Alligator mississippiensis: one gene and its partners. The protein of the gene in region 3 interacts with the protein of the main gene of each other region in a biochemical or structural test. Links are inferred from orthologs where the notes say so. Each region holds a gene or a part of one and is shown on either strand. Other genes may lie near its edges. The genes, in order: INSR, UBE2H and TRIM72.

Region 1 (8,032 bases), on a different chromosome or scaffold from region 3:
AGGGTGTCCCCGTCTGCCTGCTGGCTCACTGTGGAACTGGAGCTGCTGTTCTTGGTCCTCACTTTCCTCCTTGAGTGAAGGTTATTATTGATCCACCTTCCAGGTAGTCTGTGAGAGTTGGTTCATCTCTGGCAGTGATCCTTTGGGCTGCAAAAGATTCAAGGTCTTACCTTGAGTTTGCCTGGATTTGTGGATCAGCCAGTTACTTCAACTGAGATGGTGGGTTGAGTGTTGCTTTCCCTGCATCTTGACAATTAGGATTATTTTCAATCCCCTCGGTTGTCACCTGTCTGCAGCTGCAGATACCAAGAAGTGAAACCAGTGCAGCATGGTACCGCCAGCAGCCCGGCTGCCCTTGCAGTATTGAATTGGAGGGAGCAGTCGGTGCTGCAAAACAGACTGCATGCGTGCCAGGCCCTGTCCTCAAGCTGCACGTCCCCACTGTGCAGCTAGCCTTGGGGGGCCCTTGTGCATGTCAGCACGCCTCGTTCCCAAATGCAGTTTATGAGGAACCGTATTTTCCCACCCTTTTGCACCACCTCTGCCCCACAGGTTCTGGAAGCCAGGCTGGGTTCTCTCCAGATGTGCGAACTGTAGAGAGTCGGCAACAGACGGAAGGAGCCTTGGGGGGCACGGCGCAGAGCATGCTGCGGTGAGCTCGTGCTGCTTCAAGTGGCCAGCCCTGGTGCTGGACTCTAGCTGGTGCCCAGGAAAGAACAGAGCTCAGCTGGTCTCTCTCAGCTGCACTGGCTTGACCAGGGAAACTGGATTAAAAAAGACACGGATTAGTGGTTCTGACCCTGAAAACACAAACCAGTTCACCAAGTTCCCCTCCAGAATGGAACTATGCACTGAATCCAGCTGCATGCCTGGTTCTAAGCTCCCAGTGGCATGAAGAACAGGAAATCTGGTCCTGAAAGATTTCTCAGTGCTTGCCCAGGGAGCATCCTATAGAGAGAGCCTGGCCCAGAGCACCCAGTCACCATGGCAAATGTAGAGCCTTAAAGGGAGCAAGAAGCTCCCAGGGCTTGAGAGAAGGTCCCTGTCCGGCAGAGCCTTACAGGAGAAGATTTGCCTTGCCTGCTACGTAGCTTGTTTCTGTTTTATGCTGGTACAGATCAAAGCTACCAGGGGAGATGAGAGGCCTGAGCCTCTGTACCATGCTGGTGCTGTACCATGACACTGCACACGTGGTTAGCCAGGGAGGGCATGTAATGAATTCTTATCGCTGATGCCAGCAGTAAGAAATTCACAAGCCGCCTCTGTGTCAAGAGTCATTAATGAATCCGGAGACATGCAGGACGGACACTTGAATCCTATGCTCCTTCTCTTTGATCCGAGAACAAAAGCAATGCCCTTGCTGAACCCTCTTCTCACCTGTGCGCTTGGATTCTTCAAGCCAGTACGTGCATCCCTCTCTTCTGGCAGCGCGCAAACAGTCTGCTGACGAGCTTCAGAGCCCCGAGTCCCCAGTGACCTGCATGTGAAGCCTGTTTCCAAGGAGGTCTGAGGGCAGGGTCAGACCTGTGGTGCGTCCCATGCAGCAGCAGTGCAAAGTGCCCGGGGAAAAGTCCTTTGAGCAAGCAGGTCTCCAGAACGCTGCCTGGGGGCCCTCGAGCATCGCACTTAAAAACCCACTTTCTAAACCTAATGATCTAAGAATTGGTGCAACACTCGGTTGATGAACAGCAGAAAGGCCTGCTTTAATAACTACCAGCAAGCTACAAAACTAAATGACAGAAAATAACTGTTTCCCAATATCACATGACTTATTCGTCCTCGTATTATCTTGGCTGCAAAGAGATCTTTACCCAATGCAGGCAGGAAGCAGTTCTTGTACCGCCTCACAGTGCGGATCCTTCACTTGTTGGCCGGGTGGCGGGATGACTTCTTGGTCTTCCCTGGACTGCACACACCTTGCTAGTTCTTACACTGTTAATTGTATAGCCTCAAAACATTTTTCCTTGATAGTCAGCTGATTAAAGTTGGAACAAAATGGGGAGGCAAAGGGTGACCATCATATTACAATAGTTAAATTGCCTGGCTCCTGTTTTTGGACTTGTCCAGGTGTTGATGACTTGTGTTTCTCTGCAGCCCCTGCAATTACAGGTCACTTACGGGCGCTCAGACAGGATTGCTAGAGGCACTGGTCACCAGACCTGTCTTTGGGGATCTGCTTATCCATGGGGCAAATTTGCAATAGCGTGTACCGGCGACAGTCTGTTTACAAAACTCACATACATCGTTCCTGTGCCTTTTCCAGGTTTCTCTTGAGATGCGTATTTATTCTTTTGTCATCTTGAGTTGCTAGTTCAGTTGAAATGCATACGTAGGTTCCTTGCCGTCTCCAGTTGCACTGCCTCAGCCTTTTCTTTGTCTCTCTTACTTGCACACATGATGAGCGTGTCAGGTCTCTGCCAACAATTTTAACCATCACCTCTATTACTTGATGGCATGGGTCTGGTATTGGGTATCACAAGCGCTCCGCTGTCTTGACGCCTGATGGGTTGCAAGCCTGCCTTGCCCCAGCCATTGTCTTGCAATTTTGTGCAAAAGTCGCTGTCCAAGCTGTCACAGTGTTACTGTGCGGCGTCGAGCACCTGCCCGCACCAAGATCCTGCCCACGGAGCCAAGTCGCGGGATGGCTGTGAAAGGCCCAGGGCTTCCCTTGTGCTGCCGGGACAGGGCGGCACCGACCCAGCTTGGGCATGGACAAAGATTGCACAGTCGGTGTTTCTTGTTCACCACAAACTTCCCGTTGCAGTCCCGTACCGTGCGCGTCGGGGCCCTGGCACCGCCACACCTGGGCAGCACAGCGGGTGCCTCTGGAGTTGTGCAAGGAGCAGGCTGGTTACTCTGGCGACACCTGGGCACGGGTAAGGTCCCACCTTTGCTTTTCCTTCGTTCCAAGCGGGACGTGGACCTTCCTTATGGCATTGGGCAACAGCGGCCAAGTGACTAGGACCGTCCTGGAGCTGAGACAGTGTCCAGAGATGAACGTAACCAGAGTGGGACAGGCAGGCAGGAGCATTTGTTCCCTCTCACTTTGAGGCCCACATCTTTCCCTATCTGGGCGACATCTTCCCGAGGACCGTGGCAAACAGCGGTGGCTCGGCCGCTGAGAAGTGATGAAAATAACTCGGTGCGGTGGTTGCCATTAAAAACTCCAGTGTTTACTGAAAGTGGCTACCTCGCGGCATCCGGGTACGAGCGCTCTTATCTCTCCGCTCCAGGGGGAAATTAAATTATCACCTCGGGACAGCCTTGCCTTGGTAAGTTGCAAACGGAGGGACAGATCCTCCCTAGCGTCACAGACATCTTGCGTGGTCTGAGCAGTCTCCTAGCAACGTCAAGGATGCCTGTTGTGCCTGTGTAGCCCTGAACCTCGGGAGGACTCGGCACTTCTGTTTCAAGGTGATTGCTGGTGTGGAGAAATGTAGCCCGACTACCGTACACGGCAAGCCCGCGCTCTAGAAAACTGCTGCGCTGGCTGCAGGACGTACGAGCTGGCCACGGCGGTGGCTGCGGGACTTCCCTGCCCTCGGCTGTGCCGCCGTTCTCCTTTCTGTCGTCGTTTTGGTTGTAGCTTCTGCCGTCGGAGCCAGCCTCGACGGAGCCTGGTCGGAAACGGGCGGCTACGGAAGAGGGCTCGACGGACTCGGATGAAGCCTTGAGGTGAGAAGCTAACGCTGCCCGGCCCTCCTTCGCATGTTTGAGCTGCTTTATTGGTGCTGTTGGCAGCGCTCTGACGCGGGGAGAGGCGACGTGTTGCGTGTCCCGGCTCCTGGCAGGGCCCTTGCAGCTCCGCTGCGCGTCGCGGCGTGATCCCTGCGCGGCTGGAGGCCTTGCTTTCCCCTCCGTGCTGTTTTCAGGAAGAGATTTCAGTCCTGGGCTCTTTGGGCTAACTAGTCTCGTCGAGCTTCCTGGTTCGTGCTTTGTTGTGAACACAAAAGGCTCAGCCCAGATCAAAGGCTGCAACTGGAACAATCTGAAATGAAAGTGCTTTGAGGGTGGTTTTTGTGACGGTTCGGAGCGGGCAACATCAGGTGCGCTCTAGTCCTGCCATCACACGCACAGGGCTGGGCCGCGGCGCGGCAGGGCGCGTCTTGCTCTGTCCCTCGGGCCTCGCCGCCCCTTCTGCGCGCGGGCCGCGGCGGTCAGCGCTGGGCCTTGCGCTGCTGGGCCGTGCCGGGGGTGGGGTGGGGAGCCCGCCTGGGGACCGGCCTTCAGACCGGGCGCTCTCGTAGACTGAACCGCAGGCGTGCGCACCGCTGCGCTGCTATGGAGCTAGCATGTATTTTTCTTTTCGCTTGCAGCAAGAAGCAGTCATTTTAGATAGAACAAAGAGGAACAGGATTGTCCCCAAACTGCTCCGTGCTTGGTGGTAGACGGATTACTCCCTGAGGGCAGGGGGCCGGGGCGGCGAGCACCCCCGCAGCGCGGGCGCTTGCTCCGGCCTCGGGGCGCCCTGCCCTTCCCTTCCCCTTCCCGGCGGCCTGGAGCCGGAGCCGGAGCCGGAGCCCCTCCTGGCTGGAGCAAGGCCGGCGCTGGCGGGAGGGGCTTGGAGGCGGACGCCTGAAGTAACAGAACAAGGCAGCCCCCGCCGGCCTCGGCCTCGGCCTCGGCCTGTAGCCTCGGGGAGAAGCGTGGCAGCAGCGCGGCTCTGCCCGGGGCAGCACGCGGGGCCAGGCCCGGGCCGGGGCTCCCGCCAGCAAGCGGCAACGCGCTGGTGCCAGCCGGCCCACACACGGCCTCGCGGGCCCACGGGCGGGCGGGACTCGGTCTAGCAAGAGCCCGGCGCTGCACAACCCTTCGCACCCCGCCGGGGCCGGGGCCGGGGCCGGGGCGAGGCGGGAGGGGGCTGCGGGCCGCCTCGCGCCGCTGCGGGAGCCCGGGCCGGGCCCGTGGGCCGCACACGTGCCGGAGGCGGAGGCGGAGGCGGGGCCGCTTGGGAGCGGCAGGTGGAGGCGGCTGGGTCTGCCCCGCCCGGGCCTGCTGGGCTCGGCTCCGCTCCGCCCGGCTCCGCTCCGCCTCTTGGCGCGGCCCGCGGGCTGACGGGGCGCCCCGTGTGCAGTGGCGCGGCCCGCGGGGAAGGCGCCGCGCAGCCCGGCCGAGCCGAGCGGAGCGGTGCGGTGCGGTGCGGTGCGGAGCGGCGGCGATGCGGGTGTGCTGGTGGCGGCGGCGGCGGCCCGGCGCGGCGCGCGGCCTGTGAGGAGCGGCGGGGCCATGGGGCCGCGGGCGGCGGCGGCGGCGGCGCTGGCGGTGGCCGTGGTGCTGGGGGCCTGGTGTGGACACGGCCGCGGCGACAGTGAGTGCGGGCCGGGGGAGGGCGGCGGCGGCGCGTCCCTGGGCCGGGCCGGGCCGGGCCGGGCCGGGCCCACCAGCGCAGCGGCCGCCGCCGGGTGTTGAGCCCGCGGCGCGGTGGGTCAGGGCGGGCTCGGGCCGCGGGCTCCCGCACTGTCCCCGGCGCCCTGCTCCACGGGCGCGGCCCCCACCCCACCCCACCCCACCCCGGCACAGGTCCATGCACACACGGCGCTGCCGCTCGCTCGCTCGCTCGCTCTCGGGCCCGGGGGCCGGTGTCCTGCTCCGGGCCAGCCGGCCGGCCGGCCGCGCACAGGTGGGGAGACGAGGGGCGATGGTGCCCGCCCGCCCGCGGCAGCGCCGTGTGCCTCTCCCCGTCGGTCCCATGTGTTTCGGGGCACCGGGAGCTCTCCGAAGGTGAGGGCCCGCATTGAAGGCTTTGGGATGGCTGGCTACAGGTGGCTGCGGCGTGGGTTGAAAACAGCCAGCTTCTCAAATGCAAAGACCTGAGCGTGTTGGAGGGCGACAGCGCGCACGCCTGCCCACACGCGCACAGAGCTCTTGTGCAAATTGACGCACGACACTCTGGAGAGCGAGCTCTGGCGCGACGGCTGCCCCTGCCGCCTGCCTTGCCCTGACACACACGTCTCCTGCGCGACGTCCCGCGCGCGTCGCGGACGGCAGGGAGAGTCTACGCCGCAGGGACGCGCACGGGTTGCTCCTGATCCCCGCGCTGGACTCGTGTCGCTGCAGTCTTGTGTTCGCCAAGCTTCTCACGAGAGTCTTGCACGCGGCCTGGCTGTACGGGGAGTTTCAGTCCGGAGGAAAGCTTCCTTCCCTGGAGGTTAAGGCGGGCCGTCGCCATCGCTCTGATCCCAGCCTGCCTCGGCGCGCTCGTGGGACTCCTCGAAGCGTCCCCGTAGCGTGGGCCGCTGCCCTCGGCGCGCTGTGCTTGCGGGCGGACCGGGAGCGGCGGGATGAAAAGCCCGTGTGGCCAAGGACTACCTGCCGAGCCCGGAGGCAGCTGGCGGGGAAGGGCTGTCGGGCTTGCCCTGCCTCGGGCTCGGTGGGGTGGGTGGCCCTCGGCGGACCGGCTCTCGAACGCCTTGCCCAGTACACGCGGGGATGCCCGTTGCTCCGGCCTGCCCTTCGCTTTCACGGAGACGAGCGTAACAGAGGCGTTCTTATTTCTCCGACAACCCTAAAAGCGGTAGCAGCTCCCAGGGCTCAGCTGAGCCTTTCGGGCTGGGCTGCGGAGTCTGCAACCAGCACAGAAGAAGCAGTCTCTTTGTCGGAGGAGGATTGGCCTTGGCTCAGCAGAGGTTTTTTTCCCCTTGCCCAGGAATAAAGACAGCAGCTGCCTGAGAGAGGTCATCTGAGGAGGCCAGGGGCATATAAACAGACTCTCACCTTCATCATAGCCTGGTCTGAGCATGCTTCACTGCCCAGGCCTCGCTAACGGGAGGAAAACAGTGCTTAAAACTAAACCTTGGTGTTTCATTCTTAGATCGTGTTTGTTAAAACAGTATGAAACGGGCCGGACCCCGGGTCTGAGCCCCTCCGGTTGAGGTCTTCCCTGGCCAGTGCCTGCCTCACGTCCCGTCTCCGCAGGGTGGAGACCATCACTCGAGAGCCACGAGCACTTGTGAAAACCGGACTGAAACTCGCTCGTCGTTTATAGAAGCTCGGCCCCCTTCCCACGTACGATTCCTGGAAACCAGAAGTGCAGGGAAGTGCCAGGGGTTTAGGCTGATCCGAATGGCTGCTGTTATCCACACGCGCGAGCAGGTTTTAAATACTCCAGTCAGCAAAACAAATTGTCTTCATGTGCAGTGCTGGGTTATGCGGGACTCTGGATATGGGCCGGAGCCTGTTGCGGCGAGTCGTTAGGGCTTGTTGTTCGCCGTTAAGCCAAGTGTCAGTCGTAGTTCTCCCCATTAGACACTACCTTGAAACCTACAGTCTGACATCGGAGCTCGTGTGTCTCTTCAGTACCTTGAGGGTGTTACTGGCAGACTAGCGTGTGCAGGAGCCTCTGCCGTGCGTTTGGAAGCACTGCTGTGCCTTGCCCCGATCGACCGTCTCTGGGTAGCTCCGTGGCCCAGGACACAGGCGTGTTCTTCACCCGGGCTCTGCGTCCTCGCTGCGGCAGGCTGCGCGCAGGCCTCTTCCCAGCCTCCTTGAGGCCCGCGCTCTGGCCGGCCTCGCTGCTTGACAGAAATAGTGGCGTCTAGCGACGTGGGAATTTTGTCACTAGCATCAGTGAGAGCAGCGCTAGGCCTTCTAGCTGCAGCACTTGGAGCACGGATTTGAGGGTTAAATAGCTGATTCTGTGTTTGTTTCGGAAACCATATTAAACCCCCCAATAAAAACTCCGTAATAGCTGGTTTTTGAACTGTTGGTCTCTCTGTGCTGGCAGCTCACTTGACTAGTCTTCATAGTGACTTGTTACTGATTTCTGCCCCTGCCCCTCCTCACCCCAGAAAGTCTTGCTGAGGGGAGATGTGGAAAAACACTTGCTGCTTTGCTTAAAACTGAGTTGTGTTTATGGTAACTACAGAATTAGAGGGGTCATGTGAGTGGTTACAACACCAGTGGACTCCAGCTGCTCAGGAGAATTGAACCGTGCAAGAAGAGACCGAGGCCTGCAGAAGGCAAACCCAGATTTTCTGAAATAGCAGCAGTTCTGTAACTTTGCTCCATGAAGAAGCTGAATGTACTCAGCTGC
Region 2 (7,035 bases), on a different chromosome or scaffold from region 3:
TCACCATTCATGGAGCAGGGCCTCAGACATACAGCTGAGCAATACGGATCCCATCCAGTGGCAGGTGCACATATCTCCGCTGCATTTGACCACGGGGCCATGTGCAGGGTAACAGCCACGGGATGACCTCAAGGTGCCTTGCAAACACTCATTAACTTAGTGACACAAGCCACCCCTTCCTCCACACCCCTCCCATTGACAGAGGGAGTTGGTGTTATCAGTGCTTGCCAGATGGCAAGACAAGGTCAAATGACTTGCCCAGAACCCCACAGGCAATCTGTGGCAGGTGGAAAAGCACAGAGTCCCCTTCCTCATGCCATGTGCTCGAGCTACTTAGCCCTGCTTTGGCATATGAGCTGGGATGTTAATAATTTGCAGCAGTGTCAACTGGCAGCGTTCAAGTCCTGTGCTCGGAGCGGCTCTGTCCCTGCCCTGCTACCAGCGTCTAGGTCTCAACGGTTAGCAGGCCCAAGCACACGCTTCCCAGATTGCAGCACTCACAGGGCACACGAGGGTAAGCAGCTGTTTGCTTCCGTAGCCACTCCATTCTGCCTGCTTAGGAGGGACATTGCTCACGCCAGGCTCAGGCTTGCATCTGCACGCAGTCCTAGCATTTCCTCTCTGTAAATTATTGACAGCCGGGAAGTCTGCAGCTGGCCCCTGAGCTTGTGGAAAATTGAAAAAAGCCCCGTGGCCTGAGCTCCCACGTTAGCAAAGCCTTCCTACCTGCTCTTAGAGTCGCAGAATTGTAGAATCATAGAAAAATAGGGTTGGCAAGGACCGCCAGAGATTATCTAGTCCAACCCCTTGCTCGAGGCAGGATCAGCTCTAGCCAGACCATTGCAGATAAATCCTTGCCTAACCGATTCCTAAAATGACACAGTCAACCCTGCTGCGCAACTACAAAGCATATTGCCCAAAGACACCAAGAAGGTTTGAATCTGCCACAGGTAAAGCAGGGGGACCAGGGCTGTCAGTGTCCCATGGCTGGAAGGCTGTTAAAATGCACTGGAGAAATCCAAGGGTCCTGGATCTGGGCAATACGGTGCCCCCTCGCTCTGCTTTGAGCCTCTGATGCAGAGGCCAAGCCCTGGCCCCAATGTACCTGGCAGCAGCAAGAGACACGTTGCCTTTTGCTGCCAGGTGCAGGAGGAGGAGACAGGGATTGGAGCAGGCGCTGCATCTTATCCTTAGCTGCTCCTCAAACAACCTGCTGCGGATAGAAGCACTCTTTGTCCCTTGCTGATGGCTGTCCCAGGTTGCAATAACCCTTTCTCCCTATGGCAGCTGCAAAGACCACCAGATGTAGGGTACCTGGCCACGTCTCCTCTCCCCTCCCCTCCCCTGTCCTTCCATGCGTTTCCTTCTGCCCGTCCCCACCAGCGCAGCACGGCTCAGCACAGCCCCTGCCTAAATCTCCGCTCTTGATTTGTTCTCATTGCATCTCGTCCCTTTGTGCTGCCAGCAACGCTCACTGCTGCTTCATTTCCCTCTCTCCTGCTGCTTTCTCTCTGTGCACTGAATGATCCTCCCATGTCCGTGCCCAGGCTCCCAGCTGTCTCCTATAAACCCACATCTTCCAGCAGCACTCACCAAAGTCAGCATAACGCCATCGCCACAAACAGGTACAAAAATAGCAAGCCAAGTCATCACCAGCCCCAACACATGTTCCTTTGATCTCTGCCTAGCCTCTGTCCCTCTGATTGTATGCTCTCGAGGGCAGGGACTCTGTCTATTTGTGTTAATATTTCATTGGAAGGCCTTGACATTGCAAGGACGCACATAAAACACTGTTATCCATATAAAAAGAAACAGTAATAATCTCAGAATAATCTCAGAAGCCGAACAAAGCTCTCGCCAGCAAGGCAGAAATGAATGCAAACACTCAAATATTGGTTAAAGTACCGGAGATGAAATACCGACAGCCACATGAATAAAAATGTGGCACTCGCATCTAGAGATGACCCAGGAGGGAGTTAGGATGAATATCAAAACTGCCAAACATCTCCCTGCAGACGCCGAGTTTGATTGGCAAACATGGAGAAGCTTGAACTGTCTCCGAACGGGGATCGGCAAGACTCAAGTTCACAGGCGACGGCGGGGATACTCTAACGGCGCAAACAGCACGTGCGAATGTGGAGGAAACTTTCAGACTATTGCACACCTGCTGGCTTGCCATGTTTGGGGCAACTATTCACCTGGCTAAAGATATACACTGAGAAACGGTAGGTGCCAGTTTCTGGACTTAGATTTGAGCATGGTGACGACACAAGAAGAAGAAGACTGGCGAAAAGGTGTTTCTGCCCTTTGCCCTATGATTTCCTCTTATCTCCTATTGCGGGTAGCGTATGGACACGCTGCACCGAGCTCCCCAGGCGGTGGGTGGCTATAGAAGGAGAAAGCATCATTATGGAAGGGTGTTAAAAATAATTCATTTGAAATTAAGTGGCCAGGGCTATTGGAGGGGTATCAGGAAGTCTGTCCTGCGGTGCATGCATCAATGGCTTGGCAACACCCAGCTTGCAGGGATATATTACTAGAGCGATTGTGCACACACACGTCCGGTGTGAAGGAGATGCTGGTAAAATCCGATGGTCCAGAACAAGGTGCTCAACTTCTCAGTGCCGTGGGCCAGAGGAGCGGAGCTGGGCTCATCCATGAGCCGGATCAGGCCCCGTGTGCCTGGACTGGGCCTTGCACTGATTCTCTCAGGCCTGAGCTGCTGGCTGGATCATAGAAATCCTCGAGAAGTGGGGCTCCAGCGGTCACATCTAGTCCAACCCCTGCCTGACGCAGGATCAGCCCCATCATCGACAATGAGGGTCGATAGGGACCCTCCAGCTGGCCCCTGGATCAGATCGGGGCCATCTCCGTGCCCGGATCTAGCAAGCGACCCGGTGCGTGGGCTCCCCACAGGTGCAGATATTTGCGATAGCTGCCGCCACCTCCCCTTGCTGCCAGAGGGTGGGAGCCGGGGAGTCCCGCGGGCACGGGGCGGCGAGGGGCCTGGTCCGGAAGACCCGGGGCCACCAAACCTGGGTGTCTGGGCCGGCCCGGGCTGCGGGACGACAGCGTCTGGGGCAGACGGGCCTCGCGGACGCTCCTGCGACCAGGGCAGCTGCATTGTCCCCGGGGACAGGGCCACACACACACGCACACAATCATAGACCCTCCACACATGCACACACACAGACACTCCCCCCATGGATCTTCCTCTGCTACACACATGCACACACACACACAACCATAGACCCTACACACACACACACCATGGATCTTCCTCCCATCCCCAGCCACACACACACACGCACGCACATACGCACGCACCCTATGCATGCACACACACAGTTATAAACCCTACACACACATACACACTTTCATAAGCCCTACACACACACACACTCATAAACCCTACACCCCCCTCCCCATGGATCTTCCTCCCTTCCCCCATCACACACACACACACACACACACACATACACACACACACACCATGGATCTTCCTTCCATCCCCAGCCACACACACATAAACCCTACATGCACACACACATAAACCCTACACACACAATCATAAAACCTATGCATACACGCCTATACCCTATAACCCCTGCCCATGGATCTTCCTCCCCTCCACTCCCCGTCACACACACACACACACACACACGTGGCAGAGCCGGGTCTCGAACCCAGGCCCCCAGGTGCCCGTCCCCCGCCCCCCCGCAGGTGCCCGGGGTAGGCAGGCAGGCCGGCAGGCTGGGCCCGGCGCGCACAAACACTACATCCCCCATGGCGCCCCGCGCGGGGGAGGCGGGGCCCCGCCCACCGAGCGCGGCGCGTCGCCCGGCGGCCGCCCAATGGCCGCGGGCCGGGGCGGTGAGGTCACTGTGGGTGACGTCAGGGGCCGGAGCGAGGCCGGGGCAGTCGGCGCGGGCTGAGGGAGCGGGGCCGGTGGCGGCGGCGGTGGCGGAGCGGCTCGGCTCGGCTCGGAGCGCGGCGCGGCGCGGCGAGGGAGGCCCATCCGGGCGGGTCTGGTCGGAGCCGGCGCTGCCCCTGCCTGCCTGCCTGCCTGCCTGCCCAGCGGCGCGGCGCTGCCAGGCGGCGGGGGGAGGCGGCGGGCACCATGTCCTCCCCCAGCCCGGGCAAGCGGCGCATGGACACCGACGTGGTCAAGCTGTATCCTCCTCCCGGCGCCCCGCCCCCCCCCCGCGGGTGGGACCCCCCAGGGGGGATGACACCCCCTCCCCTCCCCCCTCAGGGGCATCCTGGCCCTGCCCCCCCTCACTGGGGGTGGGGGCAAGGCGCCCCCCCCCCCCCGCAGCCTTGTGTGCTGTTGATGATGATTTGCTCCCTGCCATGCCCAAAGCTTGGGGGTTGGGGGGGTTAAATTGGGGGAGAGGGGGATGACCCCCCAAATGAGGGGTCGCTGTGTGGGGGGAGGGGTGGGGGAATACCCCAAAAGGGGCAGGGCTTTGCCTCGCCTGGCTGCTGTTTATGTAACGCTCCAGGTACACCCCCCCCCTCCCGAAACGGGCCTGATTTCTAATTCGGCCTCTTGTTGTTTTCTCTTTTGTGCCCCTCTGGGGCGGGGGACTCCCGTCCTCTCGGCGGCGCGGAGGGGGCGGACGTGGTGGAAGCTGTGCGGGGAATTCGGTTTATTAATAGTTGTATTAATAGTTGCGTTGACGCGGGGAGGAGGGGGGGGGGGGGATGCATTTGACATCCCCGACCCGACGGCTCCCCGGGGCGGCGACGAGCAACGTCTCCCTTTGGAGGAGAAACAAACTTCTCCGGGTTTCCTCCTTTTAAAGGAAGGGGGAAACGGCCCCGGGTCCCGCGGATGGCGCGGGGACGCCCGGCTGAGCGAGAACTTCTTCCATTCGGGTTTTTGTGCCCGTGGTTTTTTGTTTTTAATTGAATTTAATTTTTTCTTCTTCAAAGACAAGCTGTTTCTTTATAGGCCATTTCTTTTTTCCCCCCCCCCCCCCCGAATCTTGTTTTTAAAGAAATAGGAAATGACTGGCGATCAGGGTAGAATCGGAGCTATTTTTATCCCGGGGTTTAGAGTTACACATACACACGTCTGCGCTCTCCCAAATGCAAATCGCAATCGATGGCTGATTTTTCCCGGTTGTTTATGCAGAAGAAAATTGCCTTTCTTTTTAAAGGACTGGGCCGGAGAGGCGATGAGGCCCAGTCTGATTTGATGCAGACTCTGCTCTGACTCCCTCTTTCTTTTTGTTCGTGGTAGCTGGCATCTAGGATGATTACAGCATTTTAGGAGACAAAGAGCCAGGGGGGTTTTTTTTGTTTGTTTTATTTTTATTTTTTTGAAGGGACTTGGTATATTCACGCTGGTGGAGGGGGTTTGCGTTTTGCTGTAGGTGGAAGAGAGGCGAATATCTTCCCTTCCAGACCTGGTCGGCTTCTGATCTCCTGCTGGTTTCTCCCCTGACAAAAGAAACCAGAGGCTTTTTTTTTTCTGAACCGGGGCTCTTATTATTGTGACTGCAGCGTTCTTGAGAGCTGAGGCAAGAGGCTTAGATGGGTCTTGTGGACAGCAAAGTTAGGAAGTTATAGATGTCAGATGACTCTTCCCGACCTCTCCCCTCCCTCCCTGATTTTTTTTTTTGTTGTTGTTCGTTTGTCGGAGTCGTCTCCCTGGCCTTCCTCTCTCCAGGATGCATTGGGCTGTGCAGGCCCTGGGCCTTTTCATTTCTGTGTGTAATCCTCCTATCTGTAAACTGATCTGCAAATTGTCTGAAATAAGTGTGTGTTGGAGGGGTGGGGGTGGGGACCGGAGCTGGTTATGGTGGTGAGCAAATGAGGGAGAACTGGTCTGGAGGAATGTACTTGAATGGGCTCCTCCCGATGCCTCCGAGTTGGTTTGGTTTTGTGTTTTGGGTGGGGGGGGGTGTTGTTTGCTGCCATTTTCATCTCAATCTCCCTTTTCATGTCTCCGGATATAATCGTGGCATAGTTTTCTAGCCTGCCAAGAGCAACCTTTCCGGAGGAGGGTACAGGGTGGCCGGAAAGTAACCCAGCTGCTTTCTGCTCTGACAGGTTTCGGGGTCCTCCTTCCCCAGACCTATTTTCAGTCCCGACATGTCCGTGTCCTTTCATAGTCATGTCGTTGGCTGATCTCTCTCTCTCTCTCGCCTCGGGTTGCCTGGGGAATGCATGTGTGTGAACCGATGTTTAATAATTGCCTGGATGATTCTGTTCTGAAACTCTGAGTCATTCATTGTTTCCCTTCTGATCCCTTCTCTAAACCTTGTGCAAACGCTCGGAAGAGCCGAGAAGCAGGGATTTGCATTGCATCGTGCCCCTGTTGGGCTGATGGTCACCTCCTTTCCCCCCCCCCCTTAGGGGCTCAATAGCAAACCCGGGTAGGGTCCTGCATCCTGCCGGTCGCAAAAGGGCTTTTCAGGCAGGCGTAGTCCCCAAAGACGGGGAATTTACCCAGGTTCATTTGATCAACCTCGGGTCTGGGGTGGAGAAAATCTTAGCCTGGAGGGGTGCAGAGGAGTTTCCTGTCCCTGCCGCACGGGGAGCGGGGGGCCTCCGTGCGTCTGCCCGTTGCCATCCCGTCTTACTGTTGCCCCGGTGCAATGCCAAGCCTCCTGCTTTGGAAAAGTGTTTGCAGGCGAAAGGCCTCGGGCAGAGCTTGCAAATCATCGGATTGGCTGCTCTGTTACTACCCGGAAACCAAGGCCGGGGCGGAGCAACCTGAACAGCTGATGGAGTGTGTGACAAGAGTGTGTTTATATACAGGGGGTGGGGGCTGGGAAAGGAGAAGGAGGCCTAGTGCAAGGCTGTGGAAGCCCGCACAGGCCAATCCTCAGGGTTTCAGCATTGGGGGCTCGGGGAGATCCCTATCACAGGCAGCCCCGCACAGCTGATCTGCGGGGTCCTTGCATTGTTAATCAGAGCCCCACTGGGCCGTGCCAGCCCTTCGAGGTACTTTCAGTGGGATTACAAGAGTTCGGAGGCAGGGGTTTTTATTGTTCTGCATCAGAATAGCAGTGCACGGGCTTG
Region 3 (7,183 bases):
GGTTTTAATCCTTATTAAATTTAGTAGGCTTATAAAATGTAAACGTGTTTATCTGGGAGTATCGGACCTGTGTTTACACGCGGTAGGTTTTTGCACGAATGAAGCTGGGTCCCTACCGCTGCCACAGGAGAGCAGGTTGGTCCAGCACTGCCCGCTCTAGAGCCCGGGCCCCCCACCCACTCCCTGCCTGGGCCCTGCCAGCAGGGAGCAAACCACACCAGGAAAAAAAAAGCAGAAGCAATTGGAAAGTGAAAGAAGTCAAAGCCCTGAGCTACAAGAAGGGTGCAGCACCATCTCGTGGACAAGAGGCTCCTTATGACTTTGAGTGCCTTTGTGTTCGCACACAACAAATCCACAGACGTGACGCTTTAGTTCCTGGCAAGCCAAAATAAACTACAGCTGAGGAGTTTTAGTTAATGCACCAGGAAGGCTTTTAAAGGGTCCAGAAATCCCTCTTGTGTAAACAGACACGCAGGTGCAGGACAAGAAAGGGCAAAAAACGTGGTGTGTACAAGGGCCCCTCAACCCCCCCAAAAAGCACAGCAGGGCGCATCTACACACGCTGTTAATTTGAAGTAGGCCTCATTGAACCGGTCTCACATTGATCTAGTTGCCACACGTTGGTCTAGTTGTCCTTGTTGAACCTCATGAGATTCCTTTTGGCCCAATCCTCCAATGTGTTGAGGTTACTCCAAATCCTAGCCCTACCCTTCAGTGTATCTTCTACTCCCGCTATTTACTACCCCTGCTACTCCTAAACCCCTCTCTTTTGGGCAGCTCAACCCAGCAGGCCCCTCATGCCCTCGCCCTAAGCTTCCCCCTATCTTTAAGAGCAACGCTTTGGCTACATCCAAGTCTATGGGTCTAGATCAGCAGCTTTCAACCTTTTCTTCCATTGGCGGGCCTCCGACCAGATTCCAGCTGGAGGTGTGGACGGCGACTACAAGCAGATCATTACTGATGATGTGTCACGACTTCTTCCGCGGACCCCTTAGACATAGTTTGCTGACCCAGGATTCATGCACTGCAGGTGGGAAACCAGGCTAGATCATTGAGATGTGACGGCTGGAAGGGATCTCAAGCAATCATCTAGTCAACCGAGGATTGAACCTGCTTATTAGGGCCCGGCTGCTCAAAGCAAGTCCATTGGAGGCTGTCCTTGGCCATAGGGATGTTCCCCAATCGTCTGTGACATTCATCGTAGGCCTTAAAGGCTCCCGTGAAAGGATTCTTGTATGGTGACATCTTCCTCTTCAAGCTACACACAAAGGAAAGACGTCTATATGGACAGTGTTATTGGCCGAAAGCTATTGTTGAGCTGTTGTTTGCCGTTCATGCCTGGTCAAGGCAAAAAAAGTCCAGCACAGCAAACTGGATGTGCCGATATGATCCCCAAGGAAGAAGAGCCATTGGGGTTATCCGAACCTGGAGAAGAGGGATGGCATGTCATTGAGGTTGTGGCCTCTGGCACTAAGCCTGGAATAGGTGCACCTTGATGGGGAGGCATAATTATGGCCGAGGGTGGGAGGAAATGGGGGGGAGCAATAAACATGGCTGCTACCGCACCTGGTACCCCAAACCCTTGCATTCGGGAACCAGTGGGTCAAGAAAGTGAAAGCTGCAGAGGCAGGAGTCTCTACTCATCCTGGGTTGCTCAGCAGAGAGGGCACACTCTTACACTAAGGGCCCTGGTACATGGTGCATATATTACCAATTGAGGGGTGAATCACGCAATAACTTGAGGTCAGCCACATGTGCAAAGCAATTGTCGTGCAATGAATGAGTGATTTGCACGATAAATTTAAGCTGGCCATGTGCACAAAGTAATTATCACACATTGAACAGCTGATTCACGCAATACATTGAGGCCAGCTGCACGTACAAAGTAATCACTGCATAGTGAATGGGCGAATCACGCAATAAATTGAAACTTGCCCCACATGCAAAATAGTTATCATACAGAGAATAGGGGAATTGCCCAATAAACTGAGCTTGGCCACACATGCAAATTATCACACTGTGAGCGGGCAAATTGCACAATAAATTGACACCAGCCATTTGTGCAAAGTAATTATCACACACTGAACGAATGAATCACACAATAAATTGAGACCGGCCGGGCATGTAAAGCAATGATTGCACAGTGAATGGCTGAATCTCACAATTGATTGAGACCAGACACACGTGCAGAGTAATTATTGCATAGTGAACAGGCAAACTGCAATAAATTGAGACTGGCCTGGCATGCAGAGTAATTCTCATCACACAGTGAACAGGTGAATCATGTAATAAATTGAGACTGGCCACATGTGCCAAATAATCATTGCATAGTGAACGGGCAAATTGCACAATAAATTGAGACTGGACAAACATGCAAATAATGAGCACACAGCGACTGAATGATTGAAGGGCGCAATCAGTTGAGACCGGCCACACATGCAAAGTAATTATTGCGTAGTGAACAAGTGAACCGTGCAATAAATCAACACAGGCTATGCCTGCAGAGCAATTAGCACACAGCAAATGGGTGAATCACACAAGAAGTTGAGGCTTGCCACAAGTGCAAAGCGATTATCACGCAGCAAACGGCCAAATGGCACAATAAATTGCACTTGGCTGTGCCTACAAAGTGATTATCACACGGTAAAAATGACTATCCAGCTTTGAAAAAAATGAGCCAGCCAGCTCTAAAATCAGCGCTTGAGGAGGTGCAGCAATGCTATAGCTGGTTTCTATGCTGCTTAAACTGGAGTATGTCACAGGGCCCTTAAGTAATGCACTAATTACCTTCCTAACTCTTAGATTCACAGATTGTACCGGCTGGAAGGCAGCCTATGAGCTGCTCCTTGGGTTCACCGCGCTGAGCGTCGCTTTGCCTTGTTGCTCCTGGCAAAGCCATTGGGTGCCGATCTCCATGCCCACGGGGGCTTTGCGGGGTGCTGCCAGCATGCCCCACCAAAATCCCTAGTCCCAGTCCAGCAACCTGCAGAAGACCTCGAAGAAGGGGGGGCCGGGCCTCCTTCTGCAGGACCTGGGGGTGGACGTAGAAGTGTAGAGCGCGTCTACGCGTGCATTTGTGCGCATTACATCTAGCCCCAGTCAAATCACAGACTAGATCAGGAGGGCCCAGAGAAGCCCGGGTGTCCGGCCAGGCGGCAGAGAGGCAGCGGGGGCCAGGGAAAGGCACCTGGCAAAAAACACCGGCTGGAAACGCAAGTGCGTGTTATAGGGGGAATATGGTAAGAAGAGTTTGGCGGGGTAGGGGGCCTGGAAATGTGAGGGCGGGTTATACGCGGGGAATAGGGTAAGAGGGGCTTTCCCGCATAGGGACCCGGGTGTCCAGGCCACACGCACACGTGCAGAGGAAGACCCCAGGCGTCCAAGACCCCCCCGCCACACACCCCTACTCCTCACCACTCCTCCCTCCATATGCATGAACCATGAACCCCTCATTAATATTCATGAGCACAGGACTTCAGGTGTCCCCCCTCCCACTCCAGGACCCGCCCCCCACCCCCTCCCAAAGAGCCCAGGGGTCCGGCAGGTGGTGATCTGCCCCTCCAAGCTCCCTAAGCAAAGAGCCAGGCGTCCAGGACCACAACCCTACCCCTAATTATACCCCTTATCCATAACCCTACCCCTAACCCCTGACCCTATGGGCTCTTCTACAACCTCCCCAAAGGACCCCGGCGGCCGGGCTCCCAGCATGCCCTGCTCCCCGCCCCGTCCCCCCAGAACCCAGGTGTCGGGGCTCCTGGCAGCTGCCAGCCCTGCCTGCTACTTCCTGGCTGGGGAAACCTGACCCCGTCAGCCTGGGAGAGCAGCTGGGGGGAAGGGACGCCTGTGGGGACCCAGGCGTCTGGGACAGCCCGCAGCCCCCACTCCCTGCCCAGACTACCCAGGCGTCCGGGCTCCTAAACCCCCTGCTCCCACCCTCAACCACCCCAGAGAGCCCAGGCATCCAGGTCACAGCCCTCATGGGAGGGGGGGGCAGTTTTGAAGGGGAGGCGAGGGGGCTTGGGAACCCAGGGGTCACAGCCCTAAAGGGGTCGGGGAGGAGACCCCAGGTGTCCGGGCCTGCCCCCACCGGCGGGTGGGGGGACTCCCCCAGGACAAGGGACCCAGGCGTCCGGGAGAGCCCCGCTGCCAGGTGCCCTCCTCCCGCCCCGCTGCCTCTCCGCAACCTGGCCAGATGCCTGGGTTCCCTGGGACCGGTGCCAGGGCTATATAGGGGCTGGAGCAGCCGCCACCTCTCAGTCTCCAGCTCCAGCACCCTCCAGCCGCCCCCAAAGACTGCCGGTGAGTACCCACGGCTCCCTGGGCCATATAGACCCTGTAGGGACCAGTGGGGGAGCATGGGGTGACCCTGGGACTATATACAGCCTATAAAGACTGGTACAAGGGGGTATGGGGTGCCCCTGGGCCAAATAGAGTTTATAGGGACTGGTATGGGGGGTATGGGGTGTTCCTGTGGCCATATACAGCCTATTGGAACCAGTATGGGGGGGTCTGGGGTATCCCCGGAGCCATATACAGCCTATAGAGATGGGTCTGGAGTGTCCCCGAGGCCATTTACAGCCTATAGGGATCCATGAGGGAGTGTGGGGTACCTCTTTGTCTATAAGGACAAGTGTAGTGGGGCATGGAGGAGATAAGGGATGCCCTACAGTCTATAGGGACCAGTGTGAGAGTATGGGGTAGCTCAAGGGGACCGCAGAGCGATATAGCCTGTAAGGACCAGTGGAGTGGGGCATGGGGGTATACCTGTAGGGACTGGTGTCTGGAGGACATAAAGGGGACCCTACAGTCTATAGGGACCAGAGCGGGGGGGATGGGGTACATCAAGAGGACCTCTATAGGGACCACTGGGGGAGGGCTTGGGGTGCAGTGTCCTTATTCCTATAGGGACTGGTGCAGGGGGGAATGGGGAGATGAAGGGGATTTGGGGGCTATATGCAGCCTATAGGGACCAGTGGGGGGGGGTATGGGGTAGCTCAAGGGGACTCCAGGGACATATACAGCCTATAGGGACGGACTGGGGGAACAGAGGGTAGCCCTATAGAGACCAGCATGGGGGGCATGGGGCAGGCCCATTGCAGCTGGCCAGGGGCCAGGCCCTGCAGTGCTGGGGGCGGGGCCAGGAGCTATTGGCATGGCACCGGCGCTCATGAATAATCACAAGTCACTGCCCAGCTGCCCCTCCCCCGTGTGTCCATCCCTCCGTCCAGTCCATCCCTCTGGCCGCATCATGAGTCACTGCCCATCCCTCCACCCCTCTGTCCATCCCTCCATCCGTCTATCTGTCCATCCATAATGACGAGTCATTGTCTATCTACCCATCCATCCAAGCAACCAACCCAACCTCCATCCCTCCCTCTGTCCCCCAACCATCCATCCATCCATCCCTCCACAGATGAGGACGAGTCATTGTCCACCCATCCCTCCCTCCATCCCTAATAATGAAGTATTGTCCATCCATCCGTCCATCCCAACCCAACCTCCATCCATCCAACCTTCCCTCCATGGATGTCTCCATCCATCCGTCCATTTGTAGTCATCCATCTAGCCATCTGCCCATCCATCTATCCATGGTCTTCTCCATCCGTCCCTCCACCCCATATAGCTGATTGATTCATCGTTCAATCCATCTACCTATTTATCCACATCTACTCTATCCCTCTCTCCCTCCCTCCATCTATCCAGCCATCATTCCAGGCACCCATCCATCCATCCATCCATCCACCCATCCGTCCCTCCATCCCACCAACTCCTCCTCCATCTCTCTGTCCACACACCCTCTCCACCCATGCCGACTCCCCCATCTATCCATCCCCAGGAACGTGTCGCTATTAATCACGAGCTATTAACCATGACCTCATCAATCGTGCTAACGGCCCCATTGGATGAGGGGAGGCTGGGAGTGGGGATGGTCCGTCCATCTGTTCCTCATGACCTTCTGTGGTCTGAGGGGTTCCTTGGTCCTGTCTGCTCTTGGGGGGGAGGGGGGGGTCTTGGGGTCCTCCCCCCACTAACAAACCCTAATGAATGCCCTCATTAGAGAGAGGGAAACTGAGGCGCAGGAGATGCCACCCCTGAGCAGTGGGGTTACAACCCCTGCCCTTCTCCTGGGTCCCAGCCTGGTACCTTGCCCCAAACGCCTGGGTTCCCTGGGATGGCGGGGTGGGAGCAGGGGTTTGGGAGCCTGGCCGTCTGGGTTACCTGGTGGGGTGGGAGCAGGGGGTTTGGGAGCCCGGATGCCTGGTTCTCTGGACTGGGGGGTGGGAGCAGGGAGTTTAGGAGCCCAGATGCCTGAGTTCCCTGGGGGGGTGGGGCATGTGGAAGCCTGTGGCTCCTGTTTCGTGCCTATTTATAGCCAGGTCAGCCAGGCCTGGGGACATGCCGGGCAGCGTTGGCATTCCCGGCCATATGTCATATGTCACGGCTGCACATGTGACATGGACTGTGGGGGGGGGAGGGAGCTGCCGGGAAAGGGGACCCCGATTCAGGCCCGATCTGGGTTGTCCCCATGCCCTGTTCCTGTCAGCTGCTCCACCCCAGAGCTGGCTGCATCTCGGGCCCCAGAGAACCCAGGCGTCCGGGCTCCCAGGCTCCCCTGCATGGAGTATGGTGAGAGTGGGGGCGGGGGGTGCTGGGAGCCCGGGCGCCTGGGTCCTCTGGTGATGGGGGGAGCAGAGGGGCAACAAGCCACTCAGCCCCCGCCTCTCCCGCCCCCCCAGCCATGTCGAACTCCAAGCAGCGCCTGCTCCGGGGGATGCAGGAGGACCTCACCTGCCCCCTCTGCCACCGCCTCTTCTCCTCCCCGGTCACGGCTGAGTGCGGCCACAGCTTCTGCCGGGCCTGCCTGGCTGCGGTCCCCCGCGGGGACTCCCCTGGGGACCTGGCCTGCCCCACCTGCGGGGCCCCAACCCGGCCCGACCAGCTGGGCCTCAACCAGCCCCTGGAGCACCTGGTCGAGTGTTTCCGCCAGGTGCCCCACGACCACTGCGAGGAGCACATGGACCCCCTCAGCGTCTACTGCGAGCAGGACCGCCAGGTTATCTGCGGCCTCTGTGCCTCCCTGGGCCGCCACCAGGGCCACCGCGTGCTCACGGCGGCCGAGGCCCACGACCGGATGAAGGTACGGCCCTCCCCCGAGCATTGGGGTGTGTTATGTGTATTTGTT

The links.
Region 1: the proteins of TRIM72 (region 3) and INSR form a complex in vitro, tested with the Homo sapiens proteins (2 studies listed by BioGRID). The link is inferred for Alligator mississippiensis from reciprocal best matches to the Homo sapiens genes TRIM72 and INSR.
Region 2: the proteins of TRIM72 (region 3) and UBE2H form a complex in vitro, tested with the Homo sapiens proteins (2 studies listed by BioGRID). The link is inferred for Alligator mississippiensis from reciprocal best matches to the Homo sapiens genes TRIM72 and UBE2H.

The regions. Positions count from the first base shown.
Region 1 is NC_081839.1:649,989-658,020, forward strand, and holds the start of INSR (insulin receptor), read left to right. Parts: upstream 1-5,025; 5' UTR 5,026-5,226; coding exon 5,227-5,308; intron 5,309-8,032. UniProt on the Homo sapiens protein: Receptor tyrosine kinase which mediates the pleiotropic actions of insulin.
Region 2 is NC_081827.1:5,409,355-5,416,389, reverse strand, and holds the start of UBE2H (ubiquitin-conjugating enzyme E2 H), read left to right. Parts: upstream 1-3,953; 5' UTR 3,954-4,120; coding exon 4,121-4,173; intron 4,174-7,035. UniProt on the Homo sapiens protein: Accepts ubiquitin from the E1 complex and catalyzes its covalent attachment to other proteins. E2 ubiquitin conjugating enzyme that transfers ubiquitin to MAEA, a core component of the CTLH E3 ubiquitin-protein ligase complex.
Region 3 is NC_081830.1:1,061,082-1,068,264, forward strand, and holds the start of TRIM72 (tripartite motif-containing protein 72), read left to right. Parts: upstream 1-4,110; 5' UTR 4,111-4,299; intron 4,300-6,737; 5' UTR 6,738-6,739; coding exon 6,740-7,138; intron 7,139-7,183. UniProt on the Homo sapiens protein: Muscle-specific E3 ubiquitin-protein ligase that plays a central role in cell membrane repair by nucleating the assembly of the repair machinery at injury sites.